Linked DNA regions of Alligator mississippiensis. The protein of the gene in region 1 interacts with the protein of each later gene in a biochemical or structural test. Links are inferred from orthologs where the notes say so. Each region holds a gene or a part of one and is shown on either strand. Other genes may lie near its edges.

Region 1 (11,471 bases):
TCCTTCTTCCTATCCATTCCAGCCAGTGTCAAGCTATGGATCTAGTGTTAATAGATGAATATTACAAGTATAGAAGTAAGGCAACACTCTTGCAAACAGCCCCATATGGCTGAACCAAGAACCCTGAACCCTACATGACATAGAAGCAATAGTGGCTTAGGAATCGTGATTTACCTCCGTGTGTGCGTGGCCACAAGGAACTTGCTGCAGGATTAGGTCTCTGTGGAATTTAAGCAAAATATTCACAACAGTGCTAGCCCCTAGCCTTCAGAAATCATGATTCAAGCCTAATTGGTTTAGTTTTAAATGCAAGCTGATTCTCTCCGAATCACTTGACTCTAGGAGCTGAAACTTTAAGAAAAGCACCATATATTGTGAGACTTGTCATAAAATCATAAGAGTTAGCAAGGATGTGTTGTTTAGTTGTCCACAGGCAATACCTTACTACACTGCTTCTCCTTTGAGAGGGGTGTCTGTAAAAAAAAAAAAAGCATAGTAATTACATGTTTGTGTTTCAATAATTTCATAGCAACGTTAGTCAGATTCCTAGAAGTGTTTTGGATACATCAATTCATACATTTGTGTCCCTTAAAGCTCGGGGTACAAACTCCGTTCTTTTTTTTTCATACTTCATCATCAACTAGGCAAGCTCAGCAGGTGAAATTAGTCTGTTAGTGCTATGGAATCATGATTGTCTTCAGATCAGGAGCGTGCTGACAACTGCGCAGCCTAATTGCTATCACTGGGTTTGCACAGGCATGTCTGATTGGAGCGTAGTAAATAATTCTCTTTATGATACAGCAGGAGGAATAAAATTCCTTTGAGTCTCTCTGAGCTTCATCTTTAGTTTGAGGAGAAAAGGAAAGGGGCAAAAATATAGTTGCACCATTAATCTAAGTGTTTATGATTCTCTCTCTATATGACCATATACGAGAAAGCTGAGCTGAGAAGATAAACATACCATTTTTACAGACTTTTCAAAGTAAATTTCAAAATCTACACAAGTACACAAAGTCTACTGTTTTTGACTAACAAAGGATTGTTAACATTTTTATCTGTATATCTTTCCCATGTCTGTAATGCTGAGCTAATTGTTGCTAAATGTAAATTGTTACCAATTTACTTATCTCCAATCTATGATACAGCTTCAAATGAAAGTATAATTTTTCTCAATTCTCATATATACTATCTGAGCAGCCTTGTGCCATGAATATAAAGAAGAGCTGTTTTCTCCAGGTCCCAGGTTTGTTCGATATGGAGTTAGATGGTATGTGGTGAAAAATGCAATAGAGCCAGCCATTGAGCAGTGAAGATAAAGATAAATACTAAACAATCAATCCATTTGTTTTGCATCATCCATCTTAAGCACTAAATGAAGCGGGGGTCCCTTTGAAAAACAGCGGGCAGTCATAATTGAAAACTGCGTATACAAAAGCGAGGAGCGCTCAGCGGTCCTGTTTATTTATTTGGTCTATTTTTTTTACTCTGAAGAGCTATTGCCACTTGTCACATTATCTCTTAATTTTTCTCGCACAGAAAAAAACAAGTTTCATCAACTGTCTTCGGTCATAAAGAAATGAATTTCATATCTGATTTAGTTTTCAGTTTGTGATTTGTCATCTATTATGGGTCAATATTCCATGTTTGCTCTGTATGTATAATTTGATACATATCCCTACTCAGAGACCTTCAGAGTCTTTAGGAAGCTCTAAGTCCTTCTAGTAAGGCAGTGACAAGGACTGTAAGGATCCCTCATCTCCACTGTTTTATTTATTTATTCAAGTTTGTAGCTCCTGGGCAGAGGAGCAAGTCTTAATTCCACCTCCTTGGATTTTACTCTCTTTTTGTCCAGCCCCCTGGAAACCACAACTCCCACTGAAGTCAGTACAAGGTTGGCCGAGGCAAAAACAGAAAGTCTCAGGCTCTACTCTATCGCTGTGCATGGAAGTGGAAATCACTCCGCTGCAGAAAGCCAGCTCTCAGCCTATAGTCACACAAACCCTTTTCAGCATAACTGAGAAAAACTCATAATACTGTTAACTACCTCTCTCTCTCTCTCTCTGCCAAATGTTAAACAAAAACTGCAGTTTGGAGGTGACCAAAACTATTCATAAACTTGTTTTGAATTCAAGTAATGGTTTTGGCTGAGAAAAGGGAAGAAATTCACTAAAAAATGTCAAAATGAGACATGTAAAGAGCTATTGTGGTATTTCATTGCAAACTTACATTTTTCTTTCCATATCAACCTAAACAAAGTTTAAAAAAAGAAAAAAAAAAAGCATGAAATAATGGCTAAATGACAGTTTTTATTTCAAATCTGTGAAACGGTCAGTCTGAAATAAATTTTCCCCAGTGTTTTGCTCTGGCAACTGAAGCGAGAAAATCTATTGTTCTTGTATCTGACAGGAATAAATGTCACATGCAGGATCTACCCTGAGTTTCCTGCTTCTCTTTTAGCTTAGCTGGCTGGCACAATACTGACATGGCAGTAAAGGGCAGGGTAGACACCTGGCAAACATGTTTTTGGAGAATGCAGACTGTGCAGCCTGTTCTTGGCTGAACTCAAATGTTCGTGGCAGACATTTGCCCTGGAACAAACCTCTGCAGAGCGTCCAGATCATTGTTTCCAACTCTGGGAATCACTGGCCAGCATGAACCACAGCGAGGATGAAGCCTCTAGCCCAGACACAAGTGTGTAAAGACAAAACCTGGCTGCAGCAGGAGGTTCTGCACCCCCAGCCTGCGGGCTTGAGCCAGTGCCTCAGCTTCCTCCTGCCCTGCAGCAGCTATGGGTGGGGGATCAGGATCAGACACAAGCGATGCAGTATGGTCTCAGGCTTTGCTTTTTCCCCTCAGGTGCCCAACTTCCCTCTCCAAGCCCCCTGGGCATGTAGGGCCCACCACAGCTGTGCAAAGTGGCTCCTCAGGGAAGCCTGGCACTGAAGCTGATGCTGTGGGAGCTCCCTGCCACCTTATCCTGGCCCCTCAGCACTGTCCAGCCAGGGGCAACACCCCTGTACCTCAAAGGGCCTCAGCCCAGTCCCTGAGGCCTGTGGGGTGGAGGCCAGGTCCAAGGAACGCTGCAGGGCTTGCCTTTGTGCCCAGACATCCCACCCCACAGTCACAGCCATCGGGGTGGGCGCTCAGCAGCGCTGCTCACTGGGGCCAGCAGGCAGCAGGTCGCAACGGCCGCTGTAGACCACCACGCCAGGCGGGTAGTAGAGCAGCTCAGATGGGGTGGTGGCAGGCAGTGGAGCAGCAGCAGGCAGGGGCACCAGGGCAGGCAGGGCCTGCTCGTCAGGCTCGGGCTTGGTGCTGAGGGTGAAGGGGCGCATGGAGGTGAGCGAGGGTGAGGCGAGGCGCCACAGCAGGCTCTTGAGGGCCTGGCGAAACTCGCGCCGCATGAGGCAGTAGAGCACGGGGTTGAGGCAGCTGTTGCAGTGCGCCAGGCACACGCTGACGGGGAAGAGGTAGGCCTGCGACAGGAAGTAGGCAGGCCCAAAGGGCACGGCGTTCAGCTTGACCAGGACACCCCAGGCCGTGAGCGCCTGGTTGGGCAGCCAGCACACGAAGAAGCTGAGCACCACCACGCTCACCGAGCGCGTCACCTTGGCTGAGCGGCGCTGGCTTGCGTGGCGGCCACGGAGGAAGCGCACCAGGCGCGCGTAGCACAGGCTGATCACGCCCAGAGGCACCACGAAGCCCAGCAGCACCTTCTGCACCTGGTAGAGCCCCAGCCAGAGCTGCACGCGCGCGCTGGGGCTGTCGGGGAAGCGCAGCAGGCAGAGCTCCTCGCCGAAGACGTTGGCAGTGGTGGAGAAAATGGCGTGAGGCAGCGCGGCCACCACGGCCAGAGCCCAGATGAGGGCACAGAGCCCGCGGGCGCCGCAGCCGCAGCCACAGCCGCCCCTGGGCTGGCTCTTGAGCACCGATGCCACGGTGCGGTAGCGGGCCACGCTCATGGCGGTGAGGAAGAAGACGCTGGCGTACATGTTCATGGCCGTCACATATGACACCACCTTGCACATGACGCGCCCGAAGAGCCAGGTGAAGTCCAGCGCGTTCTCCACGGCCCAGAAGGGCAGCGTCAGCACGAACTGCAGGTCGGTGGCGGCCAGGCTGGTGACGAAGAGGTTCATGGAGGACTTGCGCCAGCCCCGCTTGCCGCGCATCAGGTGCAGCACCAGCGCGTTGCCCACCAGCCCCAGCGCGCACACCACGGAGTACACGGCCGACACGGCCAGGCGCACGGCGGCCGAGCCGCCCCCCTGCAGCCCCGCGCCCGCCTCCGCCTCCAGCGACTCGTTGCTCCGGTTGCCGCCGGCCCAGCCGCCCTCCGCCGCGCCCGTCACGCCGCCCGCCAGCGAGCACAAGCCGAGCTCGCAGCCGGCCGCCATCCCATGGTCGGGGGGCCGCGCCCGCTGCAGCCGCCCCTGCCCCCGGGCCGCGCCCAGTCCCGGCGGCGGAGGCGCGCTGCGGAGCCGGGCCGGTGCAGCCGCGTCCCTCGCTCCGCGGGGCTCCGGCGCTGGCTGCGGCTGGCCCGGGTCGTCCGCCGATGCAGCCCCCGGTGTCCCAGTGCCCGTCGATGCCGACACCGGTGCCTGGGGAGGCAGCTCTCGATGTGCCGGTGCCCGGCGATGTAGCCCCGATGTACCGGTGCCCGGCGATGCAGCCCCAGGGGCCCGGCGGTGCCGCCGCGGTGTGCCGGTGCCCGTCGATGCAGCCCCAGGGCCCGGCGGTGCCGCCGCGGTGTGCCGGTGCGCGGCGGTGCAGCCCCAGGGGCCCGGCGGTGCCGCCGCGGTGTGCCGGTGCGCGGCGGTGCAGCCCCAGGGCCCGGCGGTGCCGCCGCGGTGTGCCGGTGCGCGGCGGTGCAGCCCCAGGGGCCCGGCGGTGCCGCCGCGGTGTGCCGGTGCCCGTCGATGCAGCCCCAGGGCCCGGCGGTGCCGCCGCGGTGTGCCGGTGCGCGGCGGTGCAGCCCCAGGGCCCGGCGGTGCCGCGGGAGCTCTCCGCGGTGCTGAGCGCGGCGCTGCGGCCCGGCTGTGGCTCCGCGCGCCCGCCCCGTCTGAGGCGCTGCCTGCGAGGCTCAGCCCAGGCGCGGCGCGGCGCAGCGCAGCCCCCGGCAGCTCCCGCGCCTCTCTCCGCCCCGCGCTTTTAAAGCGCCTGGAAGCTGCGGGGGGCAGCGGGCACCGGCTCGCCCTGCCCGTCCTGGCTGCCGCTCCCCCGCGCTGCTGCGCTGGAAAGCCCGGAGGAGGAGGAGGAGGAGGGGGAGGAGGAGGCGCGTTGGCAGCGCTGCCTCACCATCCCGTGGGCTGCCAGCCCGCGTCTCTGCCCGCCCCGCCGCCCGGCTGCCCTCGGCCCCGTCTGCTGTCAGCGCCCGAGTGCTTCGTGGCTCGCCCGCTGGTCTAGCCGACTCGGTCCCCAGTGGGGTGCGAGGGAGCTCCCCGAGCTGTGCTGTGTCTCAGGCTGTTGCCCACCAGCCCCTCACGGTTCCGGAGGTGTTTTGGGGTCGGGCTGCGTGGCAAAGAGTCTTGCTCGGATTTTGGACTCTCGTCCGGGTCCCAGCACGCGGAGCCCTGCTCCCTGCTGCAGGACGGCCCCGCGTCCTCCGCCCTGTCTTTCCCACTCCCTTTCTTTGTGAACACTTTTCTCCAGTGAAAGATAACCAGCCTCAGACCAGAGGCTGACATCAAGTAGCTATAAAGCTTAACTCCAGTACCTCTGATTTTAGAATGAATCATGTGGAAGCAAAACAGTAAAAAAGGCACTTGAGACACTCGCTGCTTGTAAGGTAGAAAAAATGAAATAGAGGATTATAGCAGGGAACCAGCAGGGGTTTGGGGGCCCGGTTCGGGTCACCACCTGCCTCCCAGCCATTAACCTCTATGTGCCATTAACTTCCAGCATCCTTCACTGGATAAGATCTCCTATGAGTACTCTGATGTCCTCCGCCAGAGGGCTCTGGTGTTTCAGGAGAAAATAGGAGGTAAAACATATCTAAAAAGAAGCCAGCACCTACAGGCAACTCATCTTACAGGCACTAAGAGTTGCTAAGATAAGAAGTGTGCATGTGATGGAGACCCCTTGAACTCAGACCCTTCTCCTTGTTTGCAGTCTCTGGGAAGAGCAGAGGAAAGTGGGGAGAGCTTAAGCGAAGGCAGGACCCGGTATAGCAATCTTCCTTTTCATTTCAATTTTTCAGTTTTTCTGTTTCCTTCCCTGCCTGCTAGCACTGCAGTCTTCACCTGGAACACCCAGCTCTGGTCTTTCCATTTCTTAAATCATCAAGAATAATATTGATCCTGGAAGATAACAACATTGGCAGCTTAGTTTGTGATGCTGGAAAACTCAAACACAGCTCACCCTCTTCCAGGCTATGTTGCGCTTTGCTCCTTGCTCCTGGCGCGCTCTTTCCTACCTTATTACGGCTTTCATCTCTGGGGCTATTTGTAAGATATCAGCTGCTTAATCAATGTCCAAGAGGAGGTCAGGGGACCTGGTACTAACTGTTTTTGAAGAGTTTGCAGGTGCACACATGTATACAACAGGGCACGTGCTCTCATCCCTTGCCTTTTTAGGACTAGTACACAGGCACTTATGAGAAGCCCAGAGATTACACTTGGCCCTGCACAAGAGCCATCTGCTTATGTGCTTTTATGTGCAGAACAGCGGCCTCTGTGCAATCAGGATCCATCTGTTAGGCCCATGCTCTGGACACCTATGAAAGGGTTGTTTGAAAGAACTGACCCGAGTTTGTTCTAAAACATGGCCACTGGTGCCTCCTCCCCATTGTATGTATAAGAGGGCAGCAATTTAAACATTTGCCCATGAATTGAGTGAGCTGGATCCAGTTCCTTCATTAGCCGGAGGGAATTCAAACCTTCATCTCCCATGAGAGCCCCGCAAGCCTCAAGCTGTAAGTGAGGCTGGGGAGGAAGAGGAAGCTTCTTCTCCTTTTAAAGAATACAGAATTCATGAAGCTGGAAGGAGGGGAAACAGAAGGGCCCATGACTCTGTGGCACCATGGTTGGGGCACTCAGGGAGGTGATGGGAATTCTGGGTTCTGGTGTCCGCTTTCAGAATTGCTTGTTTTTATCAAATAACAGTGTAATGTAAAATGTATAAATAGTTCTGTGAACAGGGACTGGACCCCAACGTCAAGGTAACAAGACTTTTCCAACTTTTCTCTGAGCCTGATCCATACAAAATGCACTGTTCCAAACAGGAGACGTTACCACACCCTCAGCTCTCCTGTGAAATATGAATTTACATTTCTACCTAGGAGAACTTTTACGATCTTTGCAGTCTCCTAGGGCTGATGAAGGGTACCTGTGCCTGAAAGCTTGCAAATAAAGACTTTTTTTTTTTATAATATCTAGTTGGTCTAATAAAAGATATCGCCTCTGCCACGAGTCTTGGTTCCTTTTGCCTCTAGACCAATAGAGCTACAACCTGGGACCGCCCCTCCCCGCCCCCACCACGTCGTGTTCTAACCAAGTGTTGTCTTCCAGCTTCATAATTCTCACATTTTCTGCTCCACAGTGGCACACAGCAAAGCCCTAAAAACATTCAGCAATTTTGAGATTAAGAAGTACTTAGTAAATTCAATGCCTCTCTAGTGTTATGTAGCTACTGAGTGACTGTGAGGAGGATGGAGGGACAGTTTGGGATTTATGTGCTTGCAGTCTGTCTAGATCCTCATTCAGGCATTTCAGCTGTTTTTTTAGGATCTGGCCCTTGGTCTATCTTGCACTTTTATATAGTGGGGAAAATTACTTCCTGACATCTGTGGAACTATTCTGATATTGTCAGACATGATCATTTGGCTTCATTACTCAGACTTCACATTGGAAAGATATCAGTGATCACAGAATTGTCCTATGGCTTTTTAAATCCACCCACGGTGCTGGAGTTTATGACCTCTTGGAATAGAGAATTTCACCAGCTAAAGACACGACAGGTGAAGAAATACTTTTTTTTACTTCTTCCTTTCCATGATCAAGAGTGCTGAATTGGACAGATACAGGTAATACCTGTCATTTTTAAAAATGTAATTTTCCTCTTTTATTCAGAAGAGTTCAAAATGCTTCTTAGATCATCTTTACCACAGTTAGTTCTAGGGTGAAATCTAGTAGACATGTTAACAGTGCTGCAAAACAAAATTGTATAGCAGTTGAGGTCAGGAAGTGAAGGATACTTTTGCTTCTCTAGTATAAGAAATAGTGGCATATCTTTTGTGTTCCTTCAGGGTGGTTGAATTTTCTTTCTAGTTAATCTTCCCACTATTACCCTAGAAGTAGCACTCAAGGGGTGGTGTATATTTTGTCAATCAGCTTCCTTTCAAACGCAGTGAAAATGCAACCTTGTGCAGCAGCTAGCCGGACGTGATATGCAAAAGAGAATGTTTCACCATGTCCCCTGCTGATTCCTTTCTTTCCTATTCTGAGTGCACAGGCTTTCTAAAAACCTTATTTTTATATAATTTAAATGGAAAGATGGCCTTGTAGGAAATTAGTTTTTGGCCACTCCAGTATCTTCCTGGCCAGGACATTTGGTTGGTACTTTGCACAGACGAAATAGTAATGAAGCTTTAGTACAAAGAGGAGAGGAGACATGGAACAGCGGGGCAGGAAAGTCACTAATGAGAAAGATATACCTCTTCATCATGCTAACCAGTCAAACAAGATTCAGCTGATTATGAGCTGAAACATTCCTTGGCAGCTTTGCTGGGAAATCTGCATGAAAGGATAGAAGCAGTTGCACAGGATTTGTATAGCTCTTTTCACCCAAACAGACTTCCTTTTAGTTTTGGATGCTTCTGCCTTCTAGTTTTGTATCTTTTTACCTCAAAGAATCATTTTAGAGATAGCTGAAGGAACTCACTATCCTTGGTTGAATTATAAAAGACATATATTTGTTCCATCCATGGCATTCCATCCAGGAAGAGCACACACAAACTGCTGCAGCTTCCTTAGCCTGACGAAGGGTTTTTGAACCCGAAAGCTTGCTTAATAACTATTCTCCAACCATTTAGGTTGGTCTAATAAAAGATATCAAATTCACCCAAGGAACCTTGTCTGCCTATATCCTTAGACCAACACGGCTACAACCTAAACCCCTGCATATATTTGTTCTATAATTTATTCAGCGCATAATCAGCCCATCTCTTTAGTTGGGGGAAAAAATTAAAAGTCATCAAACTTAGTTGAAAATCTCTAGCAAAATTAATCTAATATTTATTATTTATACTTTTGTGTTAAAAATGGTAGCCTTTGTTACTCTCCACGTGTAGTAATGCAATACAGGACTGTAGTAGGGCAATCTGGCCCTTTAAGTGGGGCAGCAAGTGCTGGGGTAGGAGCCCAAGTGTGAGTGCTTAGCTGGCAGCTCAAGAGGAGTGAGAAGAGCCAAGGAAAGAGCAGTCTGTGGTTGGGAGGTAGACTGAAACCTAGAGAAGCTTTTAGGAAGGGCCAGAGCCAAAAGAGCCCTCTCCTGCTGCCCGGAGAAAAGATAAATATTTTGCTTTGCTTGTTTGTTTTTTTGGATCAAGGGTATTCTTTGGACTGATGGAGGGGTTGCTAAGGGGACAATGCCTGCTGGCACAGGAGCAGGCACACCAACCTGCATAAACAGGGGGTGGAAAGTGGGCAGCCCTTAGCTCTGAGCCTGCAGAATGGACCCCAAGGCTGGGCTGACACTGATGGAGGGGTTGCATCAGCAGCAGTGATCAGCATTTCAGCAACAACAGCAGCTGTTGCAGCATCTCCAGATTCAGCAGCAGTTTTGTCAAAAGTGGCAAAAGGAGCAGCAACACTTCATGCTGAAATTGCTGAAACAAGGAAAGCCCCACGCTCAGGTGTGTGTAGCTTCTGTAACCCAGATGGGAGGGGTGGAACATTTACCAAAATGAGACCTGATGATGAGCCCAAAGCATTTTTGGAGATTTTTGAGTGGGTGGCTAGGACATATCAGTGGTTCTGGGAGCAGTGATCTGCATGCTGGTGCCTTACCTGACTGGGGAAAGTCATGCAGCCTACTGGGCTTGCGTGTACCTATGACACCCTCAAATCTGTAGCTTTAGATCAAGTGGGGCTCACAGAGGAAGCATACAGATGCTACTTTGGGGTGGAGCCCTTTCTCCTGGACTCTCAGCCCTGAGCAGTGATGCAGTGCTTTAGAGACCTATGCACCTGGTAGCTGAAATGGGAATCCAACTTGCCCAAGAAAACTATGGAATTGGTGACAGTTAAGACAGATGTTGCCTGTGGAGGCCTGGGAATGGGTCTGTAGACACTGAGTTATGGATCTTAAGCAGGCAGCCTGCCTCACTGGGGATATTTTAGAGTTAGTGTTAGTGTGGGGAGTCTCTGACTGGGTCAAAGGGACAAAAGGGGATTGTTTAGACTGGCTGAGGGGTGCATATCAACCTTCTTGCAAGGATTTTTCAGGGTATTGGATCTGGGATGATTTTTGCCTGACAGTGTTTAAAAATACCCTTTCAAATATGCTTCAAATAATGATCATTATACAGAAATGTTTTTTCATGCTATTTGCTCTGAAGAATTACTACCATTTTCCTCATCCTTTTAAGACCTCCTCCAAAGATGAGGCATTAATTACAGTTACAATAGTGACCGAAACAGATGTTAGCAATTTTGAATTTCTTTGGCAAGGGAAATGATTCTATTTTCTATACAACTGACATTTTGTAGCATAAAATATGTTTTAAAGTAAAAAGTCTTGAACAGATTTTGTTAACAAAGAATGATATCTGTCTACCAATCTGTATCCATATGTGTATATGGAGTTCTGCCCATTTGACTAAAGTTTTATTTTATCCACAGAATTTTGCTTTATAAATAATACTTGCATTTGAGATTTCTTTACCATTTATTTATGCCAGATTGTATTCTACCTGTCATATGTCTAAATGGACATAGGCATCTAAGTGCAATTCTATTCCATATGTTCAAATTCCTGAAAATCCATAAGTGTATCTACTTTGTTACAGGGGTTTAGGTTGTAGCCGTGTTGGGTCTAAGGACATAGGCAGACAAGGTTCCTTGGGTGAATCTGATATCTTTTATTAGACCAACCCAAATAGTTGGAGAATAGTTACATGCTTCCATCTTACTCATAAGATTGAGTCACAAAGCAGTGAGGAGGAGGAAGAAGAGGACCTATACACCTTTTGTGTTAATAGTTTTTTCAGGTGCTAAAGCAGGGTAAAATAAAATTGCACTTAGACATTTAAGTCCACTTACATGCCTAATAGAAATAGAGTCTGGCCTCTCATGTCTATTTGGTTCTTTACTTTCCCATTTCTAAGCTCTTGATCCCTGTGGTCTCTGGCTTTTTGAGAGGCTTTGATCTTCCCTTGATTATACTGAGCAATAATTGTTGGCAGATGAGTGTTACAATTCACTGGAATGTTAGAACTCTATCCCCTTCCCCCTGCATGCCCCGTCTTTGTG
Region 2 (9,068 bases), on another chromosome or scaffold:
CTCAGCAGTGGGAAAGGAACCCAGGTGTCTGGACACCGCACTACCTCAGTGTCCCTCCCCCCACTGCACCCCATGCCAGGGACAGGACACCTGGATTCTCTCCCTTGCTTGGGCAGGGACATGGAGACTAATGGCCACAAGGGGGCAGGAAGCAGATGTGCCCAGAGTCCAGCACTCTGGGGTTCCACAGGCAATGTGGGGTGGGGTGGGGCAGGGGCCAGGACTCCTGGGGTCCCTGAGGGAGGGGGAGGGGCTGGAGCTAGGGAGTCCCGGGTTCCGCCCTGGCTATGGAGGGGTTAGCGGAGGTCACCCAACCAACCTGTGAATGGGCTGTGTCCTTATCAGCCCCACCAGGCTGCCTCCCCAGGGCAACACCCACTGTCCCCTGCCCCCCCTTCCTATGTAGGAGGCAGGAAAGGTCAAGGATGAGGCAACCCCCAGCCATGGAGGGGGGGAGGGGGCTGGGGCAATAACCAGACATAGTCAGAGGGGTGCTTTTGCACAGAGAGGCAAGAAAGCCCAGACTGGGGCAATCCCCAGCCCCTACTGCACCAGCCTTGGCCAGCAGTGGGTGCTGTGGGGGTGGGGTAGTCCGATATCACCCAGGTCCGAGTCCAGCTTCCAACATGGGCTTTGTCTGATGCTTTATTGGAGTCTGTTTACAGCACAGCTGCCCCAGTGAGGACCCCTCAGCTCCCCTGCTCTAGCAGAGGGAGCTGATCTCGCTCTTGCTACAGCCCCAGCGGCAGCAGGCAGCACTGAGCCCAGTGACAACATCGCGGGGACCCCGGGGTGGGGCCCAACTCTCATCCAGCCCCCCCCGGCTGCCCCGACCCTGCCACCGCTCCGGGAGCCTCCCAGGATCCCACTCGCTGGAGCCAGCTGCCTCCGACGACTCGTCCCCTCCCAGGAGGCCGTTCAGGGCATCAGGGTCCCCTAAGAAGAGAGTGGAGAGGGAAGCGCAAAGGGTTAATCCGGCCCGCAATGGAGCTTCTTTCTGCCCTGCCAGCATGCTGCCCTGCTGCTGGAGCTGTGGGGCAGGAGGGGGTGGTCAGAATTGCCCTTGTGTTGTGAGCAATATAGGGCTCAGGACGCATGAATGAGTCAATGGGGGGTGGGGGCAGGGAATCACCCTTGTGCTATGAGTGATATAGGATTTAAGACCCATGGAAGAGCTGGGCAGTGTGCTATGAACGATACAGGACTCAGGACCCATGGATGAGCTATGGGAGGGGGAAACACCTTTGTGTTGTAACCAATATAGGGCTTAGGACCCATGAATGAGCTGGGAGAGGGATCACCTCTGTGCTATGAGCCATACAAAGCCTAGGACCCATGGGTGAACAGCCCCAATGGCAGCCAGCAGCTGCACAGAGCCCCCTGCCTGGCTCCCAGTGCTCCCTCACCCCTGCTCCGGCCACCAGTTTCCTCTCCCAACACGCTTCCCGGAGCTGAGAGAACCCAAGAGTCCTGGCTCCCAGTCTCCATGACAACACGTACATTCCATTCACTTTCCCCTGGTGAGTGGTACTGGGCACTGTCAGACCCAAGATGGTGCCATCCTGACCCACTGCCCCCTCCCTAGACCCCTGGGCCTGATTCCAGTTCTTCCTGGGGCCCCTGCCTCCCCCACACCTTGCACCCATTTCCCAGGCAGGAAGGCTGAGGATAGGAAAAGACAGCGACTCATTAAAAGTCACCCTGCAAGTCAAGAGCAGGGCAGGGAAATTAATCCAGGAGTGCTGGCTCCCAGCCTCCTGCCTTGCTCCAACCACTAGCCCCCACTGCTCTCTAGAGCTGGATATGGAACCCAGGAGTCTCATATCCCTGCATCCCTCTCCGTTCCTAGAGCTGGGGATGGAACCCAGGAAACTCGGCTCACTCCCCCCTGCCCGCTCCAGCAACAGAACCCAGGAGTCCGGGCCCCCACTCACCTGCCCGCCGCCAGCGGGATCCACCACAGGTGAAGATGACGGCACGGATGAACTCACGGCCACAAAGCTTGACACCATAGGGGGGACCCCGGGCCTCAGCCTCCAGCTTGGGTGTCACGAGCAGAGTCCCAAGCACCAGCACTGCCAGCAACTTCTGCATGGCTGGATAGAGCGCGGAGCCCAGAGCAGCCTCCTGGCACGGCTGTGGGGCCTAAATAGTCTACACAGGGCCCCCCCCCACCCCCCACCCCCACCCTGGGGAGATGGGTTGTGGGGGCCGGAGCCAGAGCCAGTTTGAGAGCTGGAGAGAGAAGCAGATAACCTTTGCATGCGAGGCATGAGTCACACCTGATCCCCCCCTGGCCTCTCTCAGCCCCCACCTGCTCCATCACTCCCCCCCGCCCCTGTCGGTGCCCACTGCCTCCTGGCTTCACACGGGGCCTTGGGGACTCGTGTACATGAGCTGGGTCTCGGATGTACACGTGTGTCCACACATGGGACTCCTGGCATGTAACTTCTTCTGCATGGGAGTGCTGGGTCCCCTGTACACATATGCATGTGCACTGTTCTTCACTGTGCCTCTGGTCCCCCCTACACACACACACACACACACACACACACACACACACACACACACACACACATTCATGCATGCGAGCTCACCTTCAGTTCATTTCTGGTCTTTCCCTCCCACATGTGAGCTCTCCTTTACTGCATGTCTGGTCCCCTCACGCAAACATATGCACATGTACTCTCTTGGTCCCCAAGCCAACACACACACACACACACACACACACACACACACACACACACACGCATGATCTTCTTCACCATAGTTCTGGTCCCCCCCACACACACACATGCTGTCCTTTACAGCACTTCTGTTCCCCCTCACACGTGTGCATCGTCCTTCACCACACTTCTGGTCCCCCCCCCACACACACACACACCCACGTGTCCACTCTTCTTCACTGCACTTCTGGTCCCTCCTACACACACACACACACATACATATGCTCTTCTTCACCAGTTTCACTCTCTCTCCCCCAACACACGCACCCCACATGCTTTCCACACATGTGTTCTCTCCACCATGCCAACACACCGACAGCCCCGGCCTACCCACTCCCATACAAACTTGCACACTGCTTGCCATGGGTGAACTGCCTCCCTTCACAGATACCTTGCCCACACACACACACACACACACACATACTTCTGCCACATGTGTCACCCTAGGCACTTGTGTGCACATGCATGCACATGCACACACACACACACACACACACACACACACACACACACACACAGAAAATCCCTGCACTTAGTAACAAACATGCTCCCAATCTCTCCCAGTAAGGGGCCCTGGGCAGAAGCCCTGGCTTGGGGGGATCCCAGTTTCTCCCAGGAAGGGGCACTGGGCAGAAGCACTGGTTCCCAGTCTCTCCCAGTAAAAAGGGCACTGGGCAGAAGTGCTAGTTTGGGCACTGAGGTACCCCACCCATGAGCATCCTCCACTCCCGACTCACTGCTCTCACATCCCGCCAGAACCCACAGCTGGCTGAACTTTCCTTATCTCATTCCACAACACTCTTGCCTTCCTCCCCGATAAGGCCTCGCAAAGGCCAGGCCATAGCTTGCTGCAGAGAGATAACCCCACTGGAGCGGGGGCAAACAGCCGATGAAACCCAAGCTTCCACCTTGGCCCAGAGATCAGTCTTCTGGAGAGGAGGGGGGTCCAGGTCCTTCCATGAGGAGAATTATTCATGCCCATCATCATAAGAGCCTGGAGGCTGGGGCTGCTGCAGAGATTGGGTGTGTGTGTTTGGTTGGGGGGAGGGGAGTAGCATCAGGTGTGGGCAAGCTCTCCCCCCCCCCCCCCCAAACTAGTGCTTCTTCCCAGTGCCCTTCGCTGGGAGAGACTGGGAACCAGCACTTCTGACCAGTGTCCCTCACTAGGATAGACTGTGGGTGACAGGTTTGGGGAAAGATGAGGGACAGGGCAGTGGGATGGGAGTATTTGGGGGCTGCTGGGACTCTGTAGGCTCTGCAGGGATCAGAGGCAGCTGCTAGTTCTTCAAACATTGCTGGCTTTAACTTCCTGGAGACAGACTGGACACATGAACATAGGAAGGACCAGAATGGGGCAGACCCATGGTCCATTTAGCCCAGTATCCTGTCTCCGACAGTGGCAGTGATGGATGCTATAGACAGAGAGCATTGAACTGGGGATGTCCAGAGTGATCCATCCTCTAGTCAATACCCTCCCATCATCTGCCATTTATTAGGATAGGAACACCAGAAGAAACATCTCCAACTGTTCTGTTCAACAGACGCTAATAAATCTATCAGCCATGAATGGGGCAGATGCAGGGTGGTGCAATCATCGAATTCTAGAGTCATGGGGCTGAAAAGGACCTCCAGAGATTGCATCCAGTCAAACCCCCTGCCTGAGGGAGGATCAGCCCTGTCCAAACCATCCTAGACAAATCCATTGTTTAACCTCTGAGCAAACCTACCATCAACCCTCACACAACATTGCACCTGAACCTCCACAGGGAAAGCCAAGGAATCATGGTGGCCAACGTCCTGCTTCGGCAAAAGCTGTTAATACACATTCAAGAGACCCCAGGCAGAGACTGTGCCCCACTACAGAGGAAGGCACCTCCCTGCACCAGCCTGTACCAATCTACCCAGGGTGGGAAATTCCTTCCTGACCCCAATGTGGCATTGGTCTGAGCCTGAATGGAGGGGCAAGACCCTCTAGCCAGGAGTCTCTAGGTTGAGTCCCAGCAGGAGCACTGGCACAGCCCAGTCACCTTCTCCAGCCTGGGCTGCAGCCAACACTCAATGCCTCCAAGAGAAACTTAAAAATACCCTGACATCAGTAGCAGGAAGCAGGGGGGCAGGAAGGTAGAATTCCCTCCCAGCCAGCCCCACACGGCAAATCAACAAAGCCCAGAATTATTTTTTTTTTAATTAAAATATATTAGGTATATGTATATACACACATCCTCTGTCATAGACTTCCACTGCACCTTTTCTTTTCCAAACCACCTTAATAAGCCCATGCACCTGGTACAATAACCACACCTGTTCCCCTGCGCCCCCCGCACACCTACCCTCTGCCCTTCCCTAACCCAAACACAGTCTCTTAGTCCCAGCCCTGATTTGGGATTTCCCTTCTCAGTTCATTCATAGTCCTTGTTGCTGTTGATGTCACTGTTACTTCCACTGCTGCTGATCCTGTTGTCCTCCTCGCTATCTTCAGGTCCAGTTGTGTCATTGTCCTCTTCATTCTCCCTGTCCTCTGCCCTTCTCGGGGGGGCTTTGAACAGCCTGTGCCACATGTCCCTTTTCCAGACAGAGTTGGCTGTGTCCTCTCCCACCATTTTCCAGTAATAGGGCTGGAGTTCACTCAGAAACATTTTAACATAGTCTGTTTGCTCAAGCTTAATGTGACTGTACATCAGGAGGTTCCTGCATTGCCACAGGGCACTCCTGATGCAGGACTCAAACAGGTCGAAGCAGGTTATCTGGGACCCCTGATGTTTAGTCAGGTATCCATATAGCGCCACATCCCTTGTCATCAGCATGACTCCTGTCACTTCCTCCAGGAGCCGGTTTACCTTTTTCCACAGAGCCAAAAAAGGTGGTCCATGGTCTCATTCACACCTTGGCAGCTTTCCCTGGGACAGCTGGGTCTAAACTCTTGTCTCACTCTGTGCCTCCATGCCTTCATTGGGAGTACACTGTGAGCTATGAGCCAGTCCAACAAAGCCCAGAAGCCTGGAAAACCCCCATAGTAAAACACTGGCATGGCTAGGCCTAGATCATCCCTGACCAGTGGCTGTCCAGCCTCTCCTAAACCCTCTAATAATGGAGAGAGTACAGCTTCCCTGGGAATCTACTCCACAGACCTCCTGCTCTAGCCATGAAGAAGCTTTTCCTAAGATCCACCCTAAGCCTACTTTGCTGCAACTTCAAGCTATTGATCCACATTCTCTTCTCTAGAGCCCCCTAACCTTTGATTCCTGCTCCCCACAAAGTTTAAAACCAACTGCCTGGCTGTGACAGCAGTAACATTCCTATTGAGACAGCAACGGGGGAATCCATTGACTTCAGGGCTCTTATTGTCTCCCTAGTTCCTGCTACACTCATCACTCCACAGGTGTTAATGACCCTCTCTCCTTTTTTTTAATGGTCTTCATGTTCCCCTAATGAAGACCCTTTCTTCTGAAGTTCTGCTCTCTGTTCATGGCTCCTGGTCATACACAGCTCCTATATCACAACCTTGAAGACTGTTTTCGTCACTTCTGATTGAGCTGTTATGACTTGGAGACCTTGAAGTCATAGACAGTTCTCTAAAAACCATCAACACGATGTGCAGCATCAACCAAAAGAGCCAATAAAATATTGGAGAGATGGAGTTTTACATGAGCTTTTGTTCCCTCTGCTATTTAACTCTACCCCAGAGGCCTGAGGAAGGGGACTGTGATCTCTGACCACTGGCTAATATCCACCTCACCCACGCAGTTGGGCCAATAAGAGAGATCAACTCCCCCCCAACCGTAAAATGTCAGGCATTGCTAAAAAGAGAACTGAAAACAGAGAACATCATTGTGGCATCATACAAATTCATGGGGCACCCACAACTCAAATCCCTGAGGGCAGCTTGGATCCCCACATCTCAGGGTAGGAGGTCAGAGAATTAGACAAAGTTGAGAGAAAGGCAACCACAATGATCAGGGGGCTGGAGCCATTGCCAAGCCAGGAGAGACTAAAAGGCTGAGTCTTTAGTTAGGAAAGGAGAAGGCCAATGATGGGGAAGTTGATAGAGGTCTATAAAGTCATGAAGGGCATGGACCAAGTGAACAGGGAGCTGGTATTCACCAAGTCCCAAGAAACTAGAATTAAGGTACACCACCGACGTGAGCAGGAGACTGGTTTAAAACTAAGAACAAGGGCTTCTTTTTTTCCTCTCCATGCAGCACATTGTTAACCTGAGAGACTTGTTAGCAGGTTCATAGGATCAAAGGAAAGTCAGGCTGGAATAGCAGATGGATCACTAGATACACCCGGTCCATTACTCTGTCACTCTAGTGTGCACAGGACACTCCAAGGAAGGAGCTGAGGTTTGGGAGCCAGGTGGAAAGGAAGCAGAATGTCACTGGCCAACTCAGAGCTGCATGGAACTGGGCCAGGGATCCTGACCTTTCCTGTGCTGTGAACTCTTGACAGCTCAGAAACCTTCCTGGCCATCTGCCCTGGGGAGATGGATCACATAGCTGAGTGGGGTCACCACTAAGCCACTGGGACCCTGCTGATGATGTCACACGACCGTGAGGTCACTAGGTGCCACATTCTCATGATGCCAGCATACAAGATCCCAAGAACCTGGCAGACTAGCAAATATGCCACACACATAATCACACGGCAGCAGCAATCACACTTGCAACCCCATTGACCTCACAGTGATGTCATAAAACATGCCTGGTGGCACATTCACCAATGTTTTCTACATGGCACTTTATAGGGGTGTAGGTTGTAGCCCTATTGGTCTAAGGATATAGGCAGACAAGGTTCTTTGGGTGAATCTGATATATTTTATTAGACCAACTTAAATAGTTGGAAAACAATTATTGAGCAAGCTTTTGGGTTCAAAAACCCTTCGTCAGGCTAAGGACCCTTAGCCTGATGAAGGGTTTTTGAACCCAAAAGCTTGCTCAATAATTGTTTTCCAACTATAAATTGGTCTAATAAAAGATATCAGATTCACCCAAAGAACCTTGCCTGCTTGGCGACTTTATGACATCACAGTTTCACAAAGTGTCATAAACACATGCTACCCAAGCTAGTAATGTAATAGGACACACAGTGACGTAGGGGGGCACAGGACCATCCAGCTACTAGGACCGGTGCGGGGGGCGGGAGGGGGGGAGAAGAAGGACAAGAGAGGAAGAGAAAGCTTTTGAGACTACAATTCCCAGAAGCCCACAAAGCCGGTGGAGCATGCGCACCTCCTCCCACACTGGGGCGAGGTTAATATGCCTCCCCCAGCCTCCTTCAGCTGACTGACAGTGCCCAAAGCCATTCTCAGCCCGCCAACTCCATGCTGGCCCAATCCACCTCCGTCTTTCCAAACCCCGCCCCCATCCACGAGACAGACGAAGGGCACGTCGACAGACGCGGCGAAGAGCCAATCGGCGCCCGCCCCACGCAAGCGACTGCTCGCGATCAGCACGGAGGGCGGGGCGGGCACTGAGTAGCGGGGCCTCGAGCCAATCGGCTCGGGGAACTCAGAGATAAGCAAGAGGAACCACCAATGGTGGCGCCCACCTTGGCCAATCGGCGCCTGGGGTGGTGAGGGCCTCCCTTTCTCCCCCTTCCTTCCAGCCCCGCCCGTAGCCGAGGTGGGTAGCAACAGTTGCCCCGGTGAGGGAACACGGAGGGCGCCATAGCCACGGTAGTCGTGGCGACCAGGAAACCCGGCAACAATAACAACAACCGCCCCGAGCGGCCCCCCCCCCGCGCCTCCACCTCCCCCCGCCCCGCCAGCGACTCCTCGGGACCCCGCCAGCACCCGCGGGCCGAGGCGCTCGACCCGACCCGCCGCGTCGGATCCTCCGCGGGGCTCCTGGCCCGGGCCACGGGAGGGACCAGTAAGGTGGGTCCTACTTTAGTTCTACCCCCAGATACAAAATGGCGGGGGTGCTGGGGGGAATGGGGCACTAAGAACCACCCTCACTAGGGGTGGGCGGGGGGGGAGGCGCCGCCCTCCCCCGACTGAGGGGCCAGGTGGCTGCCCCGGGATTAAAAAGGGCCCAGGCCCGGCGGGCGGGGCTTGCAGCGCTCCCTGGTGATTGGTGGGCGGACGGACCAATGGGAAGAGGCGGGGCCGTGGGGTCGGCCAATGATGGGAGGCTAAGGGAGCGGGGAGCAGTGTGAGGGAAAAGTGGGGAGTCTCTCCTCACTGAGAGGGGAGCCCTGCTTCTGGGCAAGGGAGGGGGTGTGATGTCACAGGGTGATGTCACTCCAGCCAGTGATGTCAGAGGGAAGGGGTACTGCCCAGGCAACTTGGCCCAGCTGTGATGTTACTGTGAGGTTTCCGGGGGGTAGTGTCCCTGAATCACA

Evidence for each region. The genes of interacting proteins can lie anywhere in the genome.
Region 2: the proteins of RXFP3 (region 1) and RLN3 form a complex in vitro, tested with the Homo sapiens proteins (2 studies listed by BioGRID, with this or other methods). The link is inferred for Alligator mississippiensis from reciprocal best matches to the Homo sapiens genes RXFP3 and RLN3.

Annotation. Positions count from the first base shown.
Region 1 is NC_081826.1:280,366,811-280,378,281, forward strand, and holds RXFP3 (relaxin-3 receptor 1), read right to left. Parts: upstream 5,046-11,471; 5' UTR 4,398-5,045; coding exon 3,144-4,397; 3' UTR 1,440-3,143; downstream 1-1,439. UniProt on the Homo sapiens protein: Receptor for RNL3/relaxin-3. Binding of the ligand inhibit cAMP accumulation.
Region 2 is NC_081831.1:23,288,953-23,298,020, reverse strand, and holds RLN3 (relaxin-3), read right to left. Parts: upstream 2,197-9,068; 5' UTR 2,095-2,196; coding exon 1,935-2,094; intron 937-1,934; coding exon 704-936; 3' UTR 653-703; downstream 1-652. UniProt on the Homo sapiens protein: May play a role in neuropeptide signaling processes. Ligand for LGR7, RXFP3 and RXFP4.